Linked DNA regions of Drosophila melanogaster. The protein of the gene in region 1 binds, or shares a complex with, the protein of each later gene. Each region holds a gene or a part of one and is shown in the gene's direction. Other genes may lie near its edges. The genes, in order: eIF3m, eIF3g1, eIF3d1 and eIF3c.

Region 1 (5,144 bases):
TGTAACAGTTAAACTGGTTTATTTCACCAAAATATTGCACGGTTAATGGCTACAGGAAGAGCTCTTAAATTAGCTTAATGAAGGCACAAGTTGGTTCTGGGGCTTTGCTAATCTAAGAGATTGGAACTAGGACATTAAGCTAACTCACTAAAGACTAAAGCCAGATTTAGACAAACAAATTGTATGCGGCGGCACTTGCATATCAAATTTGTTTATCAAAGCTTGGCTTAATAATAAAAAGCAATGTGTATATTTCCGGGTGGTAAAAACGATTTTAACAATTTTGTACTTAAATTAATGCTACCTAGCCAGTGATCTTTGGGGTCATTGATTACTATACTTTGTGCGTACGGCGACCAGCTCGTCAAAGAATAGCAGCACAAGGGTTGAGTGGGGGGCAATGCGCAAGTAGTTGGCCCAGAACCCCTTGTACATACCATAAACGCCCTCTGATCGTAGGATTTTCACAAAGCAGTCAAGCCAACCGCGATAAAGAAGACCGCGTCCTTCGGCGTCTACGCCCTGATTGTACAGACGCGTGGTGATTACATCTGGCGGCGTTATGGCCACCGACATAATGGATCCGGCTATCAAGCCAGCCGAGAAGGAGTTCAACGTGGGCTGGGTCACCAGATCGTACTGGACCAACAGGGCTTTGGTCTTACCAAAGGTGGCTATCTGGGCACCTGATCCCAAAGCCGCCCTGGGCAATGCGGCCACAGATCCTCTCCACAGTCCTCGTACTCCATTCCTGGAGTAGATCTGACGCAGGGCATCTGTCATGGAAGTATGGGCATGTTGGTAGCCAACGGCGATTTGCTTGGCGGCTTGTGATTGCAGCTGAGTTTTGATCTGGATGCAAAAGAAAGGACCATAAATAATAATATAGAAATATAGACATTGTACATAAGAGAATTGACTGTGATAATATGTTAATGTTTACAATACTTATTAAGTTATTTAGCGAATATTTTTCTGTTTCTAGATCTTGAAAATGTCTTGGTATAAATAGGCTAACAATAAATGCGTTATGTCATAAAGTAATAAGCAATGCAAACAACCATAAACAGTCAAAAAATATGGAATATTTGGAAGTATAATACTTTCTCCCTGGATATCTTGAAATGGTAGTATTTAGATACTGATGGACAATTGCCAATAAAGTCTCTTATCTGTGGAAGGTCCATAATGCTGATGAGCACGCGGCTCATTTAGATAAACTATGTATTTGTTTATGTAACCTCCCGCAGCATTCCCACAATTGGCGTACCAGGAAAAATGGACTGGAGAAGTAGCACCCCACGACGCCGCCGATGGCGCCCCACAGTAGTCCCATTCCGTAGGACACCTCACCCTTCCGGTTGTGCATCCACCGCCTCTCCATTGCCTCCGAATAAATGCTGAGCCTGGCGAATGTAAATTCAAGATGATTAATAATTATAAAATATAGCTACTAAATAATTCCCCACCGGAAGGAATTGATGATGAACTGGAAGTACAAGGCCGGTGCGAGGCCCTTTTGGAGCCCCGTAATGCCATCATTTTTGGCCACCGTAATGAAGGCATTGACAATCCCCTTGTAGGGCTCCACATAGGTACCCCGTGCCGCCAGCTCGCCCTGCAGCTGGATCCGTGTCTTGATCACCTCGATGGGATTGGTGAAGAAGGTGGCCCCCACGGAGGCCAGGCCGCCCAGAACAAAATCCGATGTAGCCATGTAATCACGAGTTCTGCTGAGGATAGTGGTTGACTAGTAACGGTTGTACCGCCTGCTGCGGAATCTCTGTGGCTCTAGGAAGCCGCACGCTGCGTGTGTGTCGTGTATTTCATAATTCTCCGCCCCGATTAGCTGGCATTACTCCTGCTCTTCTCGCCCGTTATACAAATATAATATAAATTTGGCGAGCAATATAACTTAGTAGCAGCGGAGTTGCCAGACTGTCGCCAAATTAACAATTTAACAAAAATCGTGTCATTTTGCTTAACTGTAAAGTGATAAATGTAAAATAAATAACTGCTGGATGGTAAATTTAAAATTCAGGAGAAACGGGTTTTAGAACGTTAGTAACGGTACGGCTAAGAAGTCACTTAGTGACTTATATGTTTCAGAAGATCCGGGAACACTACTTTTGCCCACATTTATTGTTAGCTAGAGTCCCGTCAAAACATTTATAAAATTGATTTTTATGTCAGCATTAATACACTTGCAAAGCCATAACTATTTTAATTTTATTGAACTGAATGAATTTCAGAGGAATATTATATATTTTAAGTGGCCACGTTAACGTCATCTTAATTTAATTCGGTCAATTGTTTGAGAGCATCGCTATTAGCGGGAAACGGACCAGGCCGGCAGCACTGGTCGCTCTCTTTCCTTTCGAGCTGTCAAAGCGCCGAAGACGTGTGTGCGTGTTATTTTCAGCTGAATTTGTTTAAAAAAGTGGAATAACATTTAACAAAACCATGACTTCGCATCCGGTTTTCATAGACCTGTCCCTGGACGAGCAGGTAGAGTGAAAGTGCCCTGTTTTAGCCATGAATTCGGGCGGCGCCTTGCCCGAATTGAGGTTATGTCTTCCTCTTGCTGCAAAACAAAACTAATATTATTCGCAATTTATTAAAAGGTGCAAGAGCTGCGCAAGTATTTCAAGAAGCTGGGAGCCGAAATCTCATCGGAGAAGTCCAATAAAGGTGTGGAGGATGATTTGCACAAGATCATCGGCGTCTGCGACGTTTGCTTTAAGGATGGTGAGCCCTCGCAGATTGATGGAATTCTAAACAGCATTGTGTCCATCATGATCACGGTGAGTAATACAGAATACAATATTAGCAACAAAAAATAACCTTCAATATTTCAGATACCCCTGGATCGCGGTGAGAACATTGTCCTGGCCTACTGCGAGAAGATGACCAAGGCTCCCAATCTTCCATTGGGCAAGGTGTGCCTTCAGTCGTTGTGGCGTCTGTTCAACAACCTGGACACCGCCTCTCCCTTACGCTACCATGTGTACTACCACCTGGTCCAGGTGGCCAAGCAGTGCGAACAGGTGCTGGAGGTCTTCTCAGGTGTGGATCAGCTCAAATCCCAGTTTGCCAACTGCCCACCTTCGTCGGAACAGATGCAGAAGCTGTACCGCCTGCTGCACGACGTGACCAAGGACACCAACCTGGAGCTGTCTTCCAAGGTTATGATTGAGCTGCTGGGCACCTACACGGCGGACAATGCTTGTGTTGCCCGTGAGGATGCCATGAAGTGCATTGTGACTGCCTTGGCCGACCCCAATACATTCCTGCTGGATCCTCTGCTGTCGCTGAAGCCTGTGCGCTTTTTGGAAGGCGACCTCATCCACGACCTGCTGTCCATCTTCGTGTCCGAGAAGCTGCCAGCGTACGTGCAGTTCTACGAGGATCACAGGGAGTTTGTCAACTCGCAAGGATTGAACCATGAGCAGAACATGAAGAAGATGCGTCTGCTGACCTTCATGCAGCTGGCCGAGAGCAGCCCGGAGATGACATTCGAAACGCTTACCAAGGAGCTGCAGATCAACGAAGACGAGGTGGAGCCCTTCGTCATCGAGGTGCTGAAAACAAAGCTGGTACGCGCACGACTAGATCAGGCCAATCAAAAGGTACACATCTCATCGACAATGCACCGAACCTTTGGAGCACCACAATGGGAGCAGCTTCGCGATTTGCTGCAGGCATGGAAGGAGAACCTCAGCACAGTGCGCGAGGGTCTAACGAGCGTCTCCTCGGCGCAACTGGATCTGGCTCGATCCCAGAAGCTGATACACTAGGCGCACCACTTCCAAAAAATTGCACTGATGATGAACAAATGCTGGCCTCGGGGCACTGGAGTGACGACCTAAATTATTTTCAAGAATGCGAGAGGGCTGGATAACTTGAATAAATTTATAAGTAAAATCGGTAGCAAACAAGTGTTTTCATAAATGCGAGGAATACTTTAATAGCTTACAATTAAGTTGTAGTGTTTTTGAAGGCATTTAACGGGTTTCATTAAAATCCTTTTTAAGAATTAAAGCTAAAAGAATAAAACATAAATATACTGATATTCTTTAAAAGCACTAAATATTGGTAACATTCAAAAGTAAATTCATTAAATTTGTAAGTTGAAACTTTTACCTTAACCATTTAAGAAGTGAAGTCCAGAATATTGCTTAATCAATGTAATAAAACTGTCTAGTATTAGGAAAGAAAACCGAAAAATAGCCTATTCGAGTATTTAAGTAGATAATCCTGTTGCTCCATTACAGCTCCTCGTGCACGTTTGTATGCTTACGATCCTTTTCCTTGGGGAATCCCCAGAAGTACGATGGAAAACCGTGCACATCTCGTTCCCTTTTTTCGAATGCCGAGTAAGAGGATATACAGTTGCCGATAAAGTGGTTCGACTGTCCGAGAATGGCCAAGTCCAGGTAAGGATCATCCTCCGGCAGCTTGTGCACACTGATGCCCATGCGACTAAGGGCCGTGTTTAGTTCACCAATCATGTGATTGGAGTCTGACGCCACGAAAACTGATTTGATTTCGTTGTCCGGCTGAGTTTGGCGCACGTTCTTAATGGTTCTCTTTAGCTGGCGGATGATCGCCTCCTTGGAGGGCATGCAGAGCTCCGGGTAGAGTGCACCACGTTCATTTTTATAGCCCAAGCACTGCGGCGAGGCAAACAGATGCTGGCTATCCTTGACGTGCTCACAGGCTCTCACCCAATCGATACCGTTGCGCAGATGAATGCCCAAAAAGGCACCCCGAGGCAACTGCTCTCGGATGAAATCCTTAGATGCTTCCCTATACCGTTGACTCCACTGCAAGTAGCGCTGCAGCTTGCAGTTCTCTAGCTGAACAGGAAAACTAGCCGGAGCTCCGGTGAACGCGAGTACGGGATATGATTCTGCAGGATATTTGGTCTGCCACTTGGCAGCCTCGTTGCTATGATGCACATCAAAATGAAGTGGCGCATAGAACTCTGACCGCACAAAGTCTATGTGAAAAGTGTCCCAAAAGGGACCAAAAGGATTGCCATCCTTGGCGTGGCAATTGGGCTTGTCTGGATCGTTCTTCTCCTGCTGAAGGCTATATCGTTCCTTGTAGCAAAATGACACTCGCTCCGATTCTGGCCAAAT
Region 2 (4,416 bases), on another chromosome or scaffold:
CATTCTCTCAGTAGTTGGAATGGAAATGCGAGGATTAAGAGATGGAAAGCATACCTTGAGGAATATGACTACGAAATTTTCTACAAGCCAGGCAGAGAAAATACTGTAGCCGACGCTCTGTCCAGAGGACCGACAGTCGAACAAATTAACACAGTAGCCTCAACAATGCACAGCTCTGACAGTTCGAGCCATGGGCTGATACCTAGCGTTGAAGCCCCGATAAACGCATTCAAGAATCAAATTTTCTTCAGGGAGTCCGAGTCAGAGAACTACTCATTTAGCATTCCATTCCCGACATTTCAAAGGCATTTAGTAGATCGCAACTTGTTCACACCCGATAGTCTCTTGTCAGATTTGAAAGAATATCTTAACCCATCCGTGATTAATGGAATTTTCACATCCGAGGATGTAATGGGGAAAATTCAAATTCTCTACCCCATCCATTTTCAGGGTTTCAAGATTAGATTCTGCCAAAGCAAAGTCAAAGACCTTGTTAACGAAGCCGAACAAGAGGAAGAAATACTTAGGACACATAACAGAGCACACAGAAATGCTGTGGAAAATAAAGCTCAGTTGTCCGAAAGAGTATACTTTCCTAAAATGAGGAAAAAAGTTTCGGCTATCGTGAATCAGTGTTTGGTGTGTAAGACTGCTAAATATGACAGACATCCCACGCATCCAGAAATAAGACAAACTCCCTTGCCAGAATACCCCGGACAAATTATTCATATTGACATCTACTCGACAGAACGACATCTGGTGCTCACGGCGATTGATAAATTTTCCAAACTGGCCATGGGAAGAGTTATCAAATCCAAAGCTGTAGAAGACATTAGGAAAGCCCTAAGAGATATCGTGTTTTATTATGGAGTGCCTAAATTAATAGTAATGGACAATGAAAAGTCCCTCAACTCAGCCTCTATCAAATTCATGTTGACAGACCAGCTGGGTATTGAGCTCTACAAAGCACCTCCGTATAAGAGTACAGTAAATGGACAGATAGAAAGATTTCACTCCACACTCTCTGAAATAATGAGATGTTTGAAAGGAGATGGAACACATAGGGGCTTCGAGGAACTTCTCGATAGGGCCATCTATGAATATAACTACACTGTCCATTCTGTCACAAAAAAACGACCTCTAGAGGTGTTCTTCGGCAGGATAGCTACCGTAGCTCCAGAAAAATATGAACAAGCTAGACTGGACAATATAGACCGACTTAGGCAAAAACAGGAAACCGACATAGAATACCACAACCGGACAAGAAAGCCCATAAAAACCTATATCAAAGGGCAAGAAATTTTCGTTAGGGTTAATACAAGATTAGGTTCTAAGTTATCAAGTAGATTTAGGAAGGAACTAGTTAAGGAAGACCGAAGTACCACAATATTAACAGAATCAGGGAAATTAGTACATAAAAGTAACATAAGATCATGATTGCTTCAGAATAATTACTGTGGCCACATCGATAGACAAGTAGAACATAGAAACATTAAACATACTGATTAACGTAACCACGAGAATTAAATTTGAAACGATTCGACTTTGACAGACGAGTTGGCCATAGGTTTGCAGAATTAGATTGGGCTCGTGAAAGAAGAGATTGCGTTGTGAATGCGTTTCTGCGGAGCGAGTTTAAATTGAATGAGACCAGTAGCCTACTTGAAAACAATATACCGATTTCTGCCTTGACGGTCAAATAAATGTTAAAACTTTCACACGTTCTCGCTTTACACAACGGAACTACAATTTGAATGCCATTGAAATCTCCATATTGAATCAGTTAATTCCTTATTTCTTATATTTTAAAACATGATCAGTAAAGGAAACTAATAATAATAAATAAATAATAATTTAATTTGAATAATAATAAAATTTACCAATTAAAGACGAAATGTACGGAATCAATGCCTTCTGCAAAGGTTCCAATGGTCTAAAAATATGTAGATATAAATTCATTAGTAATTTAGTAAAAACCAGAATTTTAATAGAAGCAATCAAGTTGTCAATGCAGAACACATCCGAGTTGCACAAACCTCGAACGCACGCAACAATAAACACCTGGCATTCAAACCATTAATGCTGTGCCCAAACTACCACGAATCACCCCACCAACGATGCGACTCAAAAACATCCCATCCTTATGATGACCGCTCGAGGACAAGCGTCAATTAAGAGGGGAGGAGTTATTGCCCTGCAATTGATTCTCTAACATCTTGTGGTTCCACATAGTCTCCGCTGCCATCAACGCCAACGAACGGTTAAGCGCGACATCGACACTTCTGCGCTGCGCCGCGGCCGACGCCTGCTGCGCCGCTGCCGACGACTTCACTTGATTGCTAGGGACTTAGGGAAACATTTTGTACGCTAGATTTAGTTTCAAATGATAAATTGCAATAAACGGTCGCTTGCGATCTTCAAAATCAAATCGATAACTTATTAACTTATATGTAACGAAATTTCAAATGGTATATTCCAAAAAGTGCAAAGTGGTATTAGCGGTATATTTTTTGGACACACACGGCATATTTTTGTGACCGCGGCAGGGTAACACTCTTTTGTTGCTGATTAAAAATCCGCTTAACTCGTGGCGAAATTTGCATTTACGATTTCGCATACAAATCGCGTTGAAAATCAGAGTGAGTGCACCCCAAGCAAGCGCCCAGTGTAGCCCCACTCACTGCGCCCTCAATTCCTTTCAGATGCCGGGCGTTGAAACGATCAAATCCTCCTGGGCGGACGAGGTGGAGCTCGACTATGGTGGACTACCTCCGACGACGGAGACGGTGGAGAACGGACAGAAGTACGTGACGGAGTACAAGTACAACAAGGACGACAAGAAGACGAAGGTGGTGCGCACGTACAAGATATCCAAGCAGGTGGTGCCCAAGACGGTGGCCAAGCGACGCACCTGGACGAAGTTCGGCGACTCGAAGAACGACAAGCCCGGCCCCAACTCGCAGACGACCATGGTGTCCGAGGAGATCATCATGCAGTTCCTCAACTCCAAGGAGGACGAGAAGGCCAACGATCCGCTGCTAGATCCCACCAAGAATATTGCCAAGTGCCGTATCTGCAACGGTGAGCATTGGTCGGTCAACTGCCCGTACAAGGGCACGGCGATGGACACGAATATGATGGAGAAGAAGGCTTCGGCAGCCGCCGCGGCCGCCGTCGATGCGCCCAAGTCCGGCAAGTATGTGCCGCCGTTCCTCAAGGACAGCCAAAAGGGCGCGCTGGGAATGCGCGGACGCGACGACACGGCCGCCATTAGGATATCGAATCTGTCGGAGTCGATGACCGAGGCGGATCTCGAGGAGCTGGTGAAGAAGATTGGACCGCAGAGCAAGATGTATCTCGCCCGCGACAAGAACACCGGACTCTGCAAGGGATTCGCCTACGTGCACTTCAAGCAGCGCAAGGATGCGGCCGCCGCCATCGAGATCCTCAATGGACACGGCTACGACCACTTGATCCTCAGCGTCGAATGGTCGAAACCCCAGAACAATTAGTTAGTCCCGTTCCCACTACCCGCGTTTACTGCTCATAGGAGTCCGTTCGAGTCGATCACACAATTTGTCCCTATGCTATGCTAAGTTTGCTACAAATAAATCTTAAAACAGCCCCCATGGGCACCGAAAACCAGATGACTATGCTCTGCAAGGATACAATGGCATCTAGAATCGTATATTTTTCATATTTGATATAACTTAATCGCTCTTCTTTAGTTTTGCGGACCAACCAACACAAATGCTTTCGACTTTTGCTCTAATATAGCTTTCTCCCTCGTTTTAAAGGACGCAAGGCCACCAAATCGTAGACACTGGGAACAACATATAAAAGAAATATTTTTTATTTGTTACTTAAAAAACTTGAATATGATTTGTTAAGTGTATTTTTTAACGACATGCAGCTACCCACATATGGTTAACAAGTTAACCTTACGCGGTGCCCACTGTAGAAAGCATGATTCCAGCCGATCTGGCAACGCCATCGTTTGCATGCGAATAAACACCATGGTGTTGTTGTTTTTGTGTTTGCCAGCGATTTGCGTAAATTGTGTTTGTTTTTGTGGCCAAAAATAGAAATCAGATGCCGCAAAATATTCAAAAAGCATTCGAAACAATATTTTTGATCTTCAGGTGTGCGCTCATTTTCAGTCGTCAGTGAGACGGGCCCCCAGGCGAAAGTCTTTGTTGTTGCTCCGTTCGAGCGAAATGGCCACCGCCACCGTTGGTTCATCCAGATCCGCAACCACATCCGCAACCGCATCCGCATGCTCATCCAAATCCAAGAACCTAAAGAATCCGGCGCCGCAAATAAAAAGGGGACAGCGGATCCTCACGGAGAAACCATTCGCCTTCGTCTTGAAATCACAGTACCGCCTGGAGCGGTGCGATAACTGCCTGGAGGCGT
Region 3 (5,375 bases), on another chromosome or scaffold:
CCCTACGGCAAGGAAACCCTTAAACTGGGCATCTCCTTTGTGCCCACCATTGTGTTCGAGAATGTGAGTAACCAACCCAACCAGGCTTACATGATCAAATACCAGACTTAACTTAACATTACCCTCTGATCCGCAGGACTTTGATCCTTACGACCAGAGAAGCATTCGCAACAACTTCGAAAGACACTTCTGTCGGCAGTATCTGAAAAAGTTCAACATCAAACTGCCCACTTGTTCCGCAATTTTGTAAACTTTTATGTAATGTACTGAGTAATTTAACTGTTTCAATGTTCCAAGACCAATAAACAATAATTATAACCAACTGGAGTGTTTGCTTACTCGCTGACTCACTTGGGGCCAATAAAAATTTACATGTGTATAGTATATACATATCAGCTTATCAGTCATGTTTTTGTATACAGATTCTAATCAGAAACAGCTGTCTGGTGGTCTAAAAATAAGATTAAAACCCCGCTGCTCAGTAAGTTTTCCGTAGTCAGCGCATAAATGTAAAGGGGAAAATGCTGGTTGACAGCAGGGGCGTCGAATTGGTTGGCTAGTCACACCCTTTATCTATATATTTATATTAATTTTTTCAAAAGCGGATATATTACAGAAAAATTATAAAAAACAAGCGAAAAGTCACCCTACTATTGCAATACAAATAATTATTTTTTTTTTAACTTATATGATTTTTGAGCCCCCCTTGAGCATTTTCTAACCACGCCACTGGCCGCTTCGAATTTGACGAAACGCAGTGACAACGCTGCGCATTACAAGTCCCGGAATTATTTCAGTGTCGAGCGTTCGCTGGCGTTGAGCGGCCGAATATTTCAAGATCAGCTCGGGATTAAACTGAATTTGCCATGAGGGCGGCTGTCTTTGTGTGTCTGCTGCTGGGATGGGTGGGCGTGGCCACGCCAAGGGTAAGTGACCCAGTTGATCGGACTGAATCCCGAATTGCGACGCTCCCATTGATCGTGACTTTGCAGCGTTTGCGCGGACCGCAAGCTGACCGACTGGCGATCACCCTGTACTACGAAGCATTGTGTCCCTACTGCATGGAGTTCGTGACCACGCAGCTCAATCCCTCGATGGTCCGTCAGGATCGACTTCCATTCACTGATCTTACGCTGGTTCCTTATGGAAATGCCAGGGTAGGTTTCATTTTTCGTAGCTTAAACTAGTAGTTATAGTACAAGTACATAGTATAGCTCAATTTGAAGTTTTAGAGTGTCAATCAGCGTTAATCCGCACTTAAACTTCGCTTAATCCCCTCCAGACGAACGATGACGGAAATGTGGAGTGCCAGCACGGAGTGATGGAGTGCGAATTGAACGCGTGGCACGCCTGCATACTGGAGCACCATGACATTGCCCAATCCCTCAAGCTGATCGCCTGCATGATGAGGGGTAAGAAGAACAGGCTGGAAAAGTGCGCTGACCACTATCAAATCGACGTGGGCGATGTCAAAAATTGCAAGAAAACGCGACAGGTGAACGACATTCTGAGGAAGTACGGCAAGGAAACGGCCAAGGTCTCATTTCAGGGAGTGCCAGCCGTAGCTCTGGATAACGTGAGTTTAAATGCGAAAGAAATTCATGAAATCTAAAATAAAACTTTGTGATTTTAAGGTTTATAACGCGGATCTATCAGCAAACTTAACTGATCATTTTGATGCCATTTTTTGCGCCAAGTATAAGGAAAAGTTCAATAAGCAGCTAAATAATTGTCAATAAATATTGTGTTCATTTAACAATACATTTTTTTATTAAAAAATATTTTTTGCATTTTCTTTGTAATTAAATCGTAAAATCAGGTTCTGAAAAATGAATAGTTCGAATTTTTAGTTTTCCCGCCCAGCAGTGGCGCCATCTATGACAGCATGCTGCCAGACCTTTGAACATTCGCTACGATTTTAGTATTTTTCTTTGGCGGTGGTATATTTCAACGCGACAACGGTCCCACTCAACTATTTTCGCAACACGCGACGATACGAATTTTCCACATTTCTTTGTTGATTTCTGGAAAATCGCTGTATATAGACCGAATAGCCGACTGCAGACTGAGCACCAGGTAAACGCGCGAGATGAGCGAGACCATAAACACCGCGGCTCAGTTCCCGAGCTTCGAGAAGCCGACCGTGCAGTTCAATGAAAAGGGCTGGGGTCCCTGCGAGCTGCCCGATACGTTCAAGGATGTGCCGTACCAGCCGTTCAGCAAGAACGATCGTCTGGGCAAGATCTGCGACTGGACGAATACGTCGAACAACGACAAGAAGTACCAGAGTGAGTTTATTCCCCACCCGAAACCGACCCACAAAATACTAATCGCCGAAAGTGAGGTTAGGTAGGTGTGTCGTGGCATGATATTGTTGCTAACATATTGGTGGTTGGTATTCCATTCGCAGACAAGTATGCCTCCAGCTTTGGCACGGGCATTCAGTACTCGTACTACCATGAGGAGGACGAGACAACCTTCCACCTGGTGGACACGGCCCGCGTCCAGAAGCCGCCGCACCAGCGCGGCCGGTTCCGCAACATGAGGAATTCGCGTTCCGGTCGTGGCAGGAATGCCCGCGGTGGCCTTAATACTCACGGCATGACGACGCTCAGCGGCAAGAATGTAAAGGCCCGCGATCCGCGCCATGGTCGCGGCATGGGCAAGAAGTTCGGTCATCGCGGACCACCACCAAAGATGCGCGAATCTTCGGTGGCCGTCCGCGCCGATTGGGCATCCATCGAGGAGATGGACTTCCCGCGACTCATCAAGCTGTCGCTGCCCAACATCAAGGAGGGCGTCGATATTGTCACCTGCGGCACGTTGGAGTACTACGACAAGACCTACGACCGCATCAATGTGAAGAACGAGAAGCCGCTGCAGAAGATCGATCGCATCGTGCATACGGTGACCACCACAGACGATCCCGTCATCCGGCGTTTGTCTAAGACCGTCGGCAATGTCTTCGCCACGGACGCCATCCTGGCCACCATCATGTGCTCTACGCGATCGAACTATTCCTGGGATATTGTCATCGAGAAAGTTGGTATGTTAAATGAAATACGAAATATAATAATAATAAGAGAAATAAATAATAATTGTAACCTTATTTTAGGCGACAAGGTGTTCATGGACAAGCGTGACCACACCGAGTTCGATCTGTTGACCGTGAACGAGAGCAGCGTGGAACCACCGACCGACGACGACAGCTCATGCAACTCCCCTCGCAACCTGGCCATCGAGGCGACTTTCATTAACCACAACTTTAGCCAGCAGGTGCTTAAGACTGGAGACCAGGAACCCAAATACAAGTTCGAGGAAAGCAACCCTTTCATCAGCGAGGACGAAGATATCCAAGTCGCCAGCGTGGGCTACCGCTACAAGAAGTGGGAGCTGGGAAGCGATATTGTAAGTGTTGCATAATCCAACTTTAAAGTTGGAATATTTTTCTATATTATGTTAAACTATTGTCTTATACTTTTAGGTCCTGGTAGCGCGTTGCGAGCACGATGGTGTCCTGCAGACGCCAAGCGGCGAGCCGCAGTTCATGACTATCAAGGCACTCAACGAGTGGGACTCGAAGTTGGCCAATGGCGTGGAATGGCGTCAAAAGTTGGACACGCAGCGCGGTGCTGTGCTCGCCAACGAGCTGAGGAACAACGCATGCAAGCTGGCCAAGTGGACTGTGCAGGCCGTCCTGGCCGGGTCCGATCAGCTAAAGCTCGGCTATGTGTCGCGTATCAATCCGAGAGATCACTCGCGTCACGTCATCCTCGGCACGCAGCAGTTCAAGCCGCATGAATTTGCCACTCAGATCAACCTGAGCATGGACAACGCCTGGGGAATCCTGAGATGCATCATCGATCTGGTGATGAAGCAGAAGGATGGCAAATACCTGATCATGAAGGACCCCAACAAGCCGATCATCCGTCTGTACGACATCCCAGACAATACTTTCGACTCCGATGACTCGGACGATGGCGAGGGCGATGACGAAGGTTTCCAGCAGGTCTACAACTACGCGCACAACAAGATTTAGACGCCACGCCCCCCTACTCCTGCATCCCTTCCAGTCTTGGGCTCTTTTGCCACAACCCGCTAAGAATAACCACAACTGATGTCCTCTAAAGGAAAAGGTCATGTTATAGGCCCTAGCTTAAGCATTTGTATTCGATTTAAATTCAGATATTTCCTAGTAAATCACAGAGGGCGAAACAATACATGAATTTTTATTGGTCCAGGTCTAATGCCGGGTACTTGTGATAAAAACTTTCGACTGAAACACCGAGGTCTTGTACGTAAATGACTGACTCATTTCCCGGACTCATATATAGTAAGCTGATTGTGCGTGTCGGGCATCTAGTTAAGATTTAGACATTGTTTAAACTCTGACGGTTAAAGATGGTCTTCCTACAAAGAGTGTACATATCCTTCCTGGTCCTGCATACTCAATTGCTGATGTACCTGGCTGAGTCTGGTAATATATGTTGCAAGTACTCCACATTGTATACGTTATAACATTCAAGAAAATGATTCATTTGGATATGGGTATTTCCTTGAATTTTAAAATATAAATAGCTTTGTTTCGTCCAATCATTATCTAAACATCCAATTAAAATGACTCACATAATATAATATTTATTAATATCCAATTCTTTACTGTATCAGAATATCCGCCTTGTAATCTGGATGAGAAATGCATTAGTCTAGCCCGCTGCACATCACTCTTGCCCTTTCTGAAGCCCCACAACATGACGCCAGCCGAGAAGGCGGTATTCGAGGACAGATATTGCGGCTATGGCCCCAAGGGGCAGGAATTATTGGACAGAGTTCTCATCTGCTGCCCAAATATGGGACACATTTTGCCAAATACCCAGATATGTGGACCAATCATGCCGGCTTATCGAATTTTCGGAGGAGAGGAGACGCAACCCAACGAGTTGCCTTGGATGGCCCTGATTCTATATGCGCATCGCAGCCGTTCGGTGTGGAATGAAAGACTCGTGTCCAGGTGCGCTGGATCCCTGATCACAAACCGCTATGTGCTGACCGCAGCCCATTGTCTGAGGATAACGGGATTGGATCTCAGGAGGGTGCGCCTTGGCGAGCATAACATTTTAAGCAATCCCGACTGCGTCACCCATATTAATGGTAGGGAACACTGCGCTCCAGAGCATCTGGAAATTGACGTCGATCTGAGTATCAAGCATAGGCACTACATGGTCTTCGAGGAAAGGCCCTACAACGACATCGCCCTGCTGCGATTGAAGTTTCCAGTACGGTTAGTTGCACTTGACCTGTCATATCTTTTACTACATATATATATATATATATACATTTCATATGTCTTTAGCTATACCGCTCAAATCAAACCC
Region 4 (6,717 bases), 3.5 Mb from region 1:
TCCAGCTGCCAAAAGCAAATAAATGGCTACCACAAGCGATGCACTTTGGGATTTCGCCTGCATTTTTATTTCCCACCCAGTCATTTTTGTGCATTCTCAAGTGCTCCTGTCCATGGCTTTAGCTTGTTTTGGGGTTTTTTCCCTGGTTTTTCATTAGCTTGGGAGTTTCCGTCTTGTGGAAACTCAGTGTGCAGCATGAAAAGGGTGTTGTCCAAATCCCCGAATAAAACATGAGCTCAAGATTCTGATTACGACTGTAACCTTTATGTCTGCTCCTCCTAAATTGAAATGAAAAACACGCAGAATTTATAGTGCATGGAAAGAAACTATTCAATTTATTCGCAAAAGAGTTTTGTAGTAAGCGGACATTAATTTTACAATATGCTCCATTATATTAAAATATCCATAGGAATTAAAATATTTTCAAATTGAGAGAAGGCAAATTATTAAAAATATAATATTATCGAATAAGAAATACTTTATTTCAGGAAAATATTTATCTAAATATAAAGCCATTTTTTCTGTGTAATGGATGATGACGAATTGAATGAAAAAGAAGTGCATCGGTTTTATCAATAAAAACTAAATTAAAATGGAGGCAGGAACGTGGGAGTAGTTATTAGGAATTATTCATTGAAATTGCGTAACTCAACATTTGTATTCAATCAACAGGAAATCTATGCTCGAGCAAGGGCAGAAATCGCATTTAAATGGAAATTTCTATAGTCTGTTTCGAGCATCGGTTTTGAAAATATCCAACCCATATATAGGATTTATGGGGCCGCACAAGCCGTAACAATCCAACGGAAAACGGAAGCAAAATAAACAGCACAAAAGCGTAACGGAAACAGAAACAGAACCCCAGGAAAAAGGGGCCCGTTTTTGCCGATTTGGATGTATGTAAATGCATATAAGCTTTTGCACCCACACACAATTTACGATTGCAGCTGCAGTTTCGGAGGAGTCAAGGAGCAGAAACCCGTACTATTTCACGGACCCTTTACGGATTCAAATGTCGATAGGCGGACAGGGAATTTATGGAGCTCTCATCAATTTCTCCGGATAATAAAGCCGCCATATGCACTCTCGAATGTCAGCTGTCGAAAAGCCAGGAAAAGGGCGATTACGCGAGATTAACCGATCAATTTTTAATTTGCCATTTCCGAGACCGCAGATACACACATCTCCATCAATCTGCAGTTATTATTTATTATGCTTACATTTGCGTTAAAGTGTTTTCCGTGTTACTCGTGTTTTCAAGCGATTCCGGGCGTCGCATCTCATTTAGGATGCCACTTAAACAGGATGTGGATGGGCAGAGCACATGCCACGCACACACCGCACACTTGGGCCAAATTTTGTTTACACCGCCAAGACACAACACAACACACAAGAATTCAAATGAATGAATTTATTGAATTCTTTTTAGCGGGCCGCAAAAGCACTTGAGACTCTATCGCCGGATATTGGCATCAACGCTGCCAAATCGCCGAGTACATCCGAAAAATTGAGTTTTTGAACTTGAACTGTCCGTCGGCGCGGAGGAGAGAACGCATGCGACTTGTTGGCGCGCGCGAAAACGTTTGGCTTGGTTTTGCTTTGGCCTTTCCTTGGCTGCCTGGCTGCATGTTGGCCGGACCAATTGATCCGGAGATTGGTTGGGGCGCCAGAATGGGAACCCCACTCTGTTTGGCTAAGAAATGCCGGCACTTTTGCACGCAAGCGCAGCAACATGTTGCTGGCAACTTCAAATGTTGCAGGTCACCAATGCAACATCTATGTAAGCATTGATCACTGATTATCTTTTTAACATTATTTTGAATAGTTACTTAAATGGCCACTATTTCATTTTGATGATATATTTGCTATGTAATTTAATGGATTTATTTTAAATGTACCGCCCAACCGGTTACTTGATATCGATATATCTCGAGAAGTGCCGGCATTTCGTTATCGATGAGTACGCGCTCGCATTCAGTCAAAACAGTGACTCCCTTAGAGATGGGATAGATTTCGGTAACTGTTGGTCCGCCACATAAAAAAACAAATGTTCTGTTACATTTAAAAAAATGTTTAAAACGCTCTCCTTACGAATATTAGTAGAGAGTAATCATTTCTCAACATGACAGTTATTATTAATACATAAATCAAACGCCCCGCCCCGTGACTTTGAGCAATATATATCGCCAACGAAAACACATGCAACCATCGCCCATCTCTAGTCTCTCTTTTTGATGTCTTGTGCATTCGACATCGTTTAGTTTTGCTGTAAAATAGTAAGTTTATTGTGAAATATCAAACGCCAGGTGGTAGTAAACACTTAAAAAGCAAGGCAGTGAACCGATTTCTGCCAGGGCTTCGAATGAAACAACCAAATGTCATGCGGAAATATTTGGCATACGTTTTTGCAAAACGCCATGTTGGCCGCTCAAACATAACCTCAACAAAGCAAAATCTTATGTGGCCCGAAACTAATAAATTGTGATTCCAGGCGCAGACAAACGGCCGCGTAGAAAGTCAACAAAGATGTCGCGTTTCTTTGCCAACGGGTCCGAATCGGAGTCCGAGTCCAGCGAGGAGGAGATCCAAGCGACCAACTTCAACAAAGCCAGCGCCTTCGTAAGTGCCGCCCAGATGTGAAACTCATCCATTACTAATCTATTCCTTTCCGTGGAAAACAGCAATTCAGCGACGATGAGGAGGAGGTCAAGCGCGTGGTCCGCTCCACGAAGGAGAAGCGTTACGAGAACCTCACCAGCATCATCAAAACCATTCGCAACCACAAGAAAATCAAGGATATTCCCAATACCCTGAGCAGCTTCGAGGATCTGACGCGCGCCTACCAGAAGGCACTGCCGGTCATCTCAAAGGAGGAGAACGGCATTACGCCGCGATTTTACATTCGCTGCCTGGCCGAGCTGGAGGACTTCATCAACGAGGTGTGGGAGGATCGCGAGGGCAGGAAAAACCTTTCCAAGAACAACTCCAAGTCGCTGGGCACTTTGCGCCAGAAGGTACGCAAGTACATCAAGGACTTCGAGGACGATCTGTCGCGTTTCCGTGAAGCACCCGACCAGGAGAGCGAGGCCGAGGACGAGGTGGTTGCCCTGGAGAGCGACGGCGGCGATGCTGGTGATGACAGCGACGCCGGAGTGAAGCCTACAGAAGCGGTTCCGAAAGCTGTGAAGTCCGCGCCGGCAAAGGCTGCGCCCGCCGATGATGACGATTCCGATGACTCCATTGATTGGGACTCGGACTCTGAATCGGAGACCGAGTCCTCTGACGATGAGAACCAGTATCAGAACATGCGCGAGCGATTCTTGAAGCGTACTACCGAAAAGGAGGAAAAGGATGATGACAAGAGGAAGGACAAGCGTAAGGAGCAGAAGACCAAGATCCGCAAGCGCGCCGAGGACGATGAAGATGGCGAGTGGGAGACTGTGGTCAAGGGTCATGTAGTAGAGAAGCCCAAGATGTTCGAAAAGGACGCAGAGATCGATGTTCCCCTAGTGCTGGCCAAGCTGTTGGAAATTATGTCGGCTCGCGGCAAGAAGCGCACCGATCGCCGTCTGCAGATCGATCTGCTTTTCGAGTTGAGGGACATCTCTGATCAGCACAACCTGGGAACCGCCGTCTCCGTGAAGATTCATTTTAACATCATCTCGGCTATCTACGATTACAACCAGAAGATTTCCGAGCCCATGAAGCTAGAACACTGGGCCCTGCTTCTGGAGGTAATGCAGAGCATGATGAAGCTCCTGCTGGCCAACGCCGACATTATTATGAGCGAGAGCGTGGCCGAGGAGCATGAGGAGTACGCTACGTCACCGTTTTATGTGAGGGGATGCCCACTGGCTGCCGTGGAGCGCCTGGATGACGAATTTGTTAAGCTGCTGAAGGAATGCGATCCACACTCCAACGACTACGTGTCCCGGCTGAAGGACGAGGTGAACGTGGTTAAGACTATTGAACTGGTGCTGCAGTATTTCGAGCGCTCTGGCACCAACAACGAGCGCTGTCGCATCTACCTGCGCAAGATCGAACATCTCTACTATAAGTTCGATCCGGAGGTGCTGAAGAAGAAGCGCGGTGAGCTGCCAGCCACTACCTCCACCTCCGTAGACGTGATGGATAAGCTGTGCAAATTCATCTACGCTAAGGACGATACGGATCGTATCCGTACGAGGGCCATCCTGGCGCACATCTACCATCATGCTATGCACGACAACTGGTTCCAGGCCCGTGATTTGGTGCTGATGTCTCATCTGCAGGACAACATTGATGCCGCCGATCCCGCCACCCGCATCCTGTACAACCGTATGATGGCCAATCTGGGTCTGTGTGCCTTCCGCCAGGGCAACGTCAAGGATGCGCATCACTGTCTAGTGGACTTGATGGTCACCGGCAAGCCCAAGGAGCTGCTCGCTCAAGGACTGCTGCCTCAGCGCCAGCACGAGCGATCTGCCGAGCAGGAGAAAATCGAGAAGCAACGCCAGATGCCATTCCATATGCACATCAACCTTGAGTTGCTTGAATGTGTCTACCTGGTGTCCGCTATGCTGCTCGAAATTCCTTACATTGCCGCCCATGAATTCGACGCCCGCCGCCGCATGATCAGTAAGACCTTCTACCAGCAGTTGCGTTCCTCGGAGCGTCAATCACTGGTGGGTCCACCAGAGTCGATGCGTGAGCATGTCGTGGCTGCTGCCAAGGCTATGCGTTGCGGCAACTGGCAGGCGTGTGCCAACTTCATTGTCAACAAGAAGATGAACACGAAAGTGTGGGACCTCTTCTACGAGTCTGATCGCGTGCGCGAGATGCTGACCAAGTTCATTAAGGAAGAATCGCTGCGCACCTACCTGTTCACCTACTCGAACGTCTACACCTCGATCAGCATTCCTTCGCTGGCGCAGATGTACGAGCTGCCCGTGCCGAAAGTGCACTCCATCATCAGTAAGATGATCATCAACGAGGAGCTCATGGCCAGCCTGGACGATCCATCCGAAACCGTGGGTATGCATCGTTCGGAGCCATCGCGTCTTCAGGCCCTGGCCATGCAATTCGTGGACAAGGTCACAAATCTGGTGGACGTCAACGAAAAGGTGTTCGACATGAAGCAGGGCAACTTCTTCCAGCGCGGCAACATGGGCAATCGCGGTGACCGTGGCTACAACCGCAACCAGAACAACCAGGGCGGCAATTGGCTCGGCCAGCGGCGGGATCGCAACAACCGGAACCGTAACCAGCGCGGGCACCACAAGAACAACCAAGATAGGCAGCAGCAGCAACAGCAACAAGTCCAAACGATCGACGAGGAGTAGACGTTGCTGCAACCTCAGCCCATCCTCTCTAGCGAGCGTTAGCTTAAACATCAGCAAAACTTAAACAGATCAAATTTGTAGCACTTCGACTATTAAAATGGAATGGCCATGGACAACACGTTGGGTCACATGCTTTCAGGCCTCCGATTCGGTTTCAGGCTGGGTCGGAGGTCTGTTTTTATCATGTCCATTGCATATTGTTGTAGCCAAGTCACACGAACATTTGTTTCAGCGCTCATTACGTTAAATGATAATACTAATAACTACATTTTGTATGAACCCAAAACCGAAAAAGAAACCTTAAAAACAAGAGACACAAAATCAGTGACTTTTTTTTGCAAATTTTTACCAACAACTAATATTAAATTTATATGTACTAACAAGAGTATTATTTTAGTCGGCTTAACACTTTGGCTTTTGAAAATTTAAGAAAACTAAGAATAACATTTGAATTTCGATGACAAGCTTCGTTTTCTGCAAAACTTCGGATATCGATATGCTCTTTTTTTCTCACATCTCTGAAACCTTTTCTTCAGTAGTACCGTTCGACGTACCTTTGTCACATTTTTTCGGAACTCTATAATAGGCATTATAAATTAAAACCAAAATATACCTAGTAAACAAATGAGCAGCGTTGGCGAGGATTGCAACGAGCTGAAGCAGCAGTACGATGCCTGTTTCAACAGCTGGTTTTCTGAACGCTTCCTAAAAGGTCAAATGGATGACTCAGCGTGTGCTCCGATTTTCCGGGTTTATCAGGAATGCGTCAAGGTGAGCTAATCGGCTCCCTAACCACGTATGGTTTGACCAACCTGTAATCCCCAGCGCGCTATTAAGGAGAAGAAGATCGATTTGCAAGAGATAGATCCGATCTTCGAAACCGGGCTTGAGGAGAATAATGCGAATAGATCTGATGCAAAACAGCAGCAGGCGGGCGAAAGCTGACCCCGTAAGCTGCTCCATATAGCCATCCTAATCCTCGCCAGCGTTAATTGGTGGCTGCACGCGCTACAAAATACTTGTAAAGAGAAACATTTCGTAGTACTTTGACTGTTAATAGTATCATCATGAAACATGGACAACTGATTTCGTTATAACCAGAGTGCCTTTATTAAAATAAATTAGATGTTCTTAAAGAATTGAAAATTCAAATTTCGATAGCACGTTCAGTTTCAACGAAACGTACATCGATATGCTGTGTCCCACATCTCTGATAGCTTATCTGTAGTATGACCCTCACACAAACCATTCTCACATTTTTTTCGACTTATTATTCAATAGAGAAATTATAACTGAAACTCAAAGAGCTTCACTCCACAAATGAACAGCATTGGCGAGGATTGCAATGAGCTAAAGAAGCAGTACGACGCCTGCTTCAACAGCTGGTTCTCGGAAG

The links.
Region 2: eIF3m (region 1) and eIF3g1 share a complex: the UniProt entries of both Drosophila melanogaster proteins name them as parts of the eukaryotic translation initiation factor 3 (eIF-3) complex.
Region 3: eIF3m (region 1) and eIF3d1 share a complex: the UniProt entries of both Drosophila melanogaster proteins name them as parts of the eukaryotic translation initiation factor 3 (eIF-3) complex.
Region 4: eIF3m (region 1) and eIF3c share a complex: the UniProt entries of both Drosophila melanogaster proteins name them as parts of the eukaryotic translation initiation factor 3 (eIF-3) complex.

What each region holds. Positions count from the first base shown.
Region 1 is NT_033778.4:14,161,851-14,166,994, reverse strand, and holds eIF3m (eukaryotic translation initiation factor 3 subunit m), read left to right. Parts: upstream 1-2,169; 5' UTR 2,170-2,463; coding exon 2,464-2,508; intron 2,509-2,624; coding exon 2,625-2,804; intron 2,805-2,858; coding exon 2,859-3,797; 3' UTR 3,798-3,929; downstream 3,930-5,144. Other genes in the region: CG8323 (uncharacterized protein), read right to left, coding at 325-852, 1,271-1,406, 1,470-1,717; O-fut1 (O-fucosyltransferase 1), read right to left, coding at 4,269-5,144. UniProt on the Drosophila melanogaster protein: Component of the eukaryotic translation initiation factor 3 (eIF-3) complex, which is involved in protein synthesis of a specialized repertoire of mRNAs and, together with other initiation factors, stimulates binding of mRNA and methionyl-tRNAi to the 40S ribosome.
Region 2 is NC_004354.4:2,608,469-2,612,884, reverse strand, and holds eIF3g1 (eukaryotic translation initiation factor 3 subunit g1), read left to right. Parts: upstream 1-2,548; 5' UTR 2,549-2,639; intron 2,640-2,702; coding exon 2,703-3,512; 3' UTR 3,513-3,638; downstream 3,639-4,416. Other genes in the region: Smyd3 (SET and MYND domain containing, class 3), read left to right, coding at 4,218-4,414. UniProt on the Drosophila melanogaster protein: RNA-binding component of the eukaryotic translation initiation factor 3 (eIF-3) complex, which is involved in protein synthesis of a specialized repertoire of mRNAs and, together with other initiation factors, stimulates binding of mRNA and methionyl-tRNAi to the 40S ribosome.
Region 3 is NT_033777.3:23,678,102-23,683,476, forward strand, and holds eIF3d1 (eukaryotic translation initiation factor 3 subunit d1), read left to right. Parts: upstream 1-1,937; 5' UTR 1,938-2,089; coding exon 2,090-2,288; intron 2,289-2,410; coding exon 2,411-3,046; intron 3,047-3,115; coding exon 3,116-3,408; intron 3,409-3,484; coding exon 3,485-4,039; 3' UTR 4,040-4,216; downstream 4,217-5,375. Other genes in the region: GILT3 (Gamma-interferon-inducible lysosomal thiol reductase 3), read left to right, coding at 1-63, 137-250; GILT2 (Gamma-interferon-inducible lysosomal thiol reductase 2), read left to right, coding at 867-926, 993-1,157, 1,283-1,576, 1,635-1,739; CG16710 (uncharacterized protein), read left to right, coding at 4,402-4,477, 4,669-5,281, 5,354-5,375. UniProt on the Drosophila melanogaster protein: mRNA cap-binding component of the eukaryotic translation initiation factor 3 (eIF-3) complex, which is involved in protein synthesis of a specialized repertoire of mRNAs and, together with other initiation factors, stimulates binding of mRNA and methionyl-tRNAi to the 40S ribosome.
Region 4 is NT_033778.4:17,663,541-17,670,257, forward strand, and holds eIF3c (eukaryotic translation initiation factor 3 subunit c), read left to right. Parts: upstream 1-2,137; 5' UTR 2,138-2,276; intron 2,277-2,491; 5' UTR 2,492-2,526; coding exon 2,527-2,619; intron 2,620-2,681; coding exon 2,682-5,321; 3' UTR 5,322-5,445; exon of another isoform or gene 5,446-5,491; 3' UTR 5,492-5,735; downstream 5,736-6,717. Other genes in the region: CG30108 (uncharacterized protein), read left to right, coding at 5,946-6,092, 6,147-6,266; CG30109 (uncharacterized protein), read left to right, coding at 6,642-6,717. UniProt on the Drosophila melanogaster protein: Component of the eukaryotic translation initiation factor 3 (eIF-3) complex, which is involved in protein synthesis of a specialized repertoire of mRNAs and, together with other initiation factors, stimulates binding of mRNA and methionyl-tRNAi to the 40S ribosome.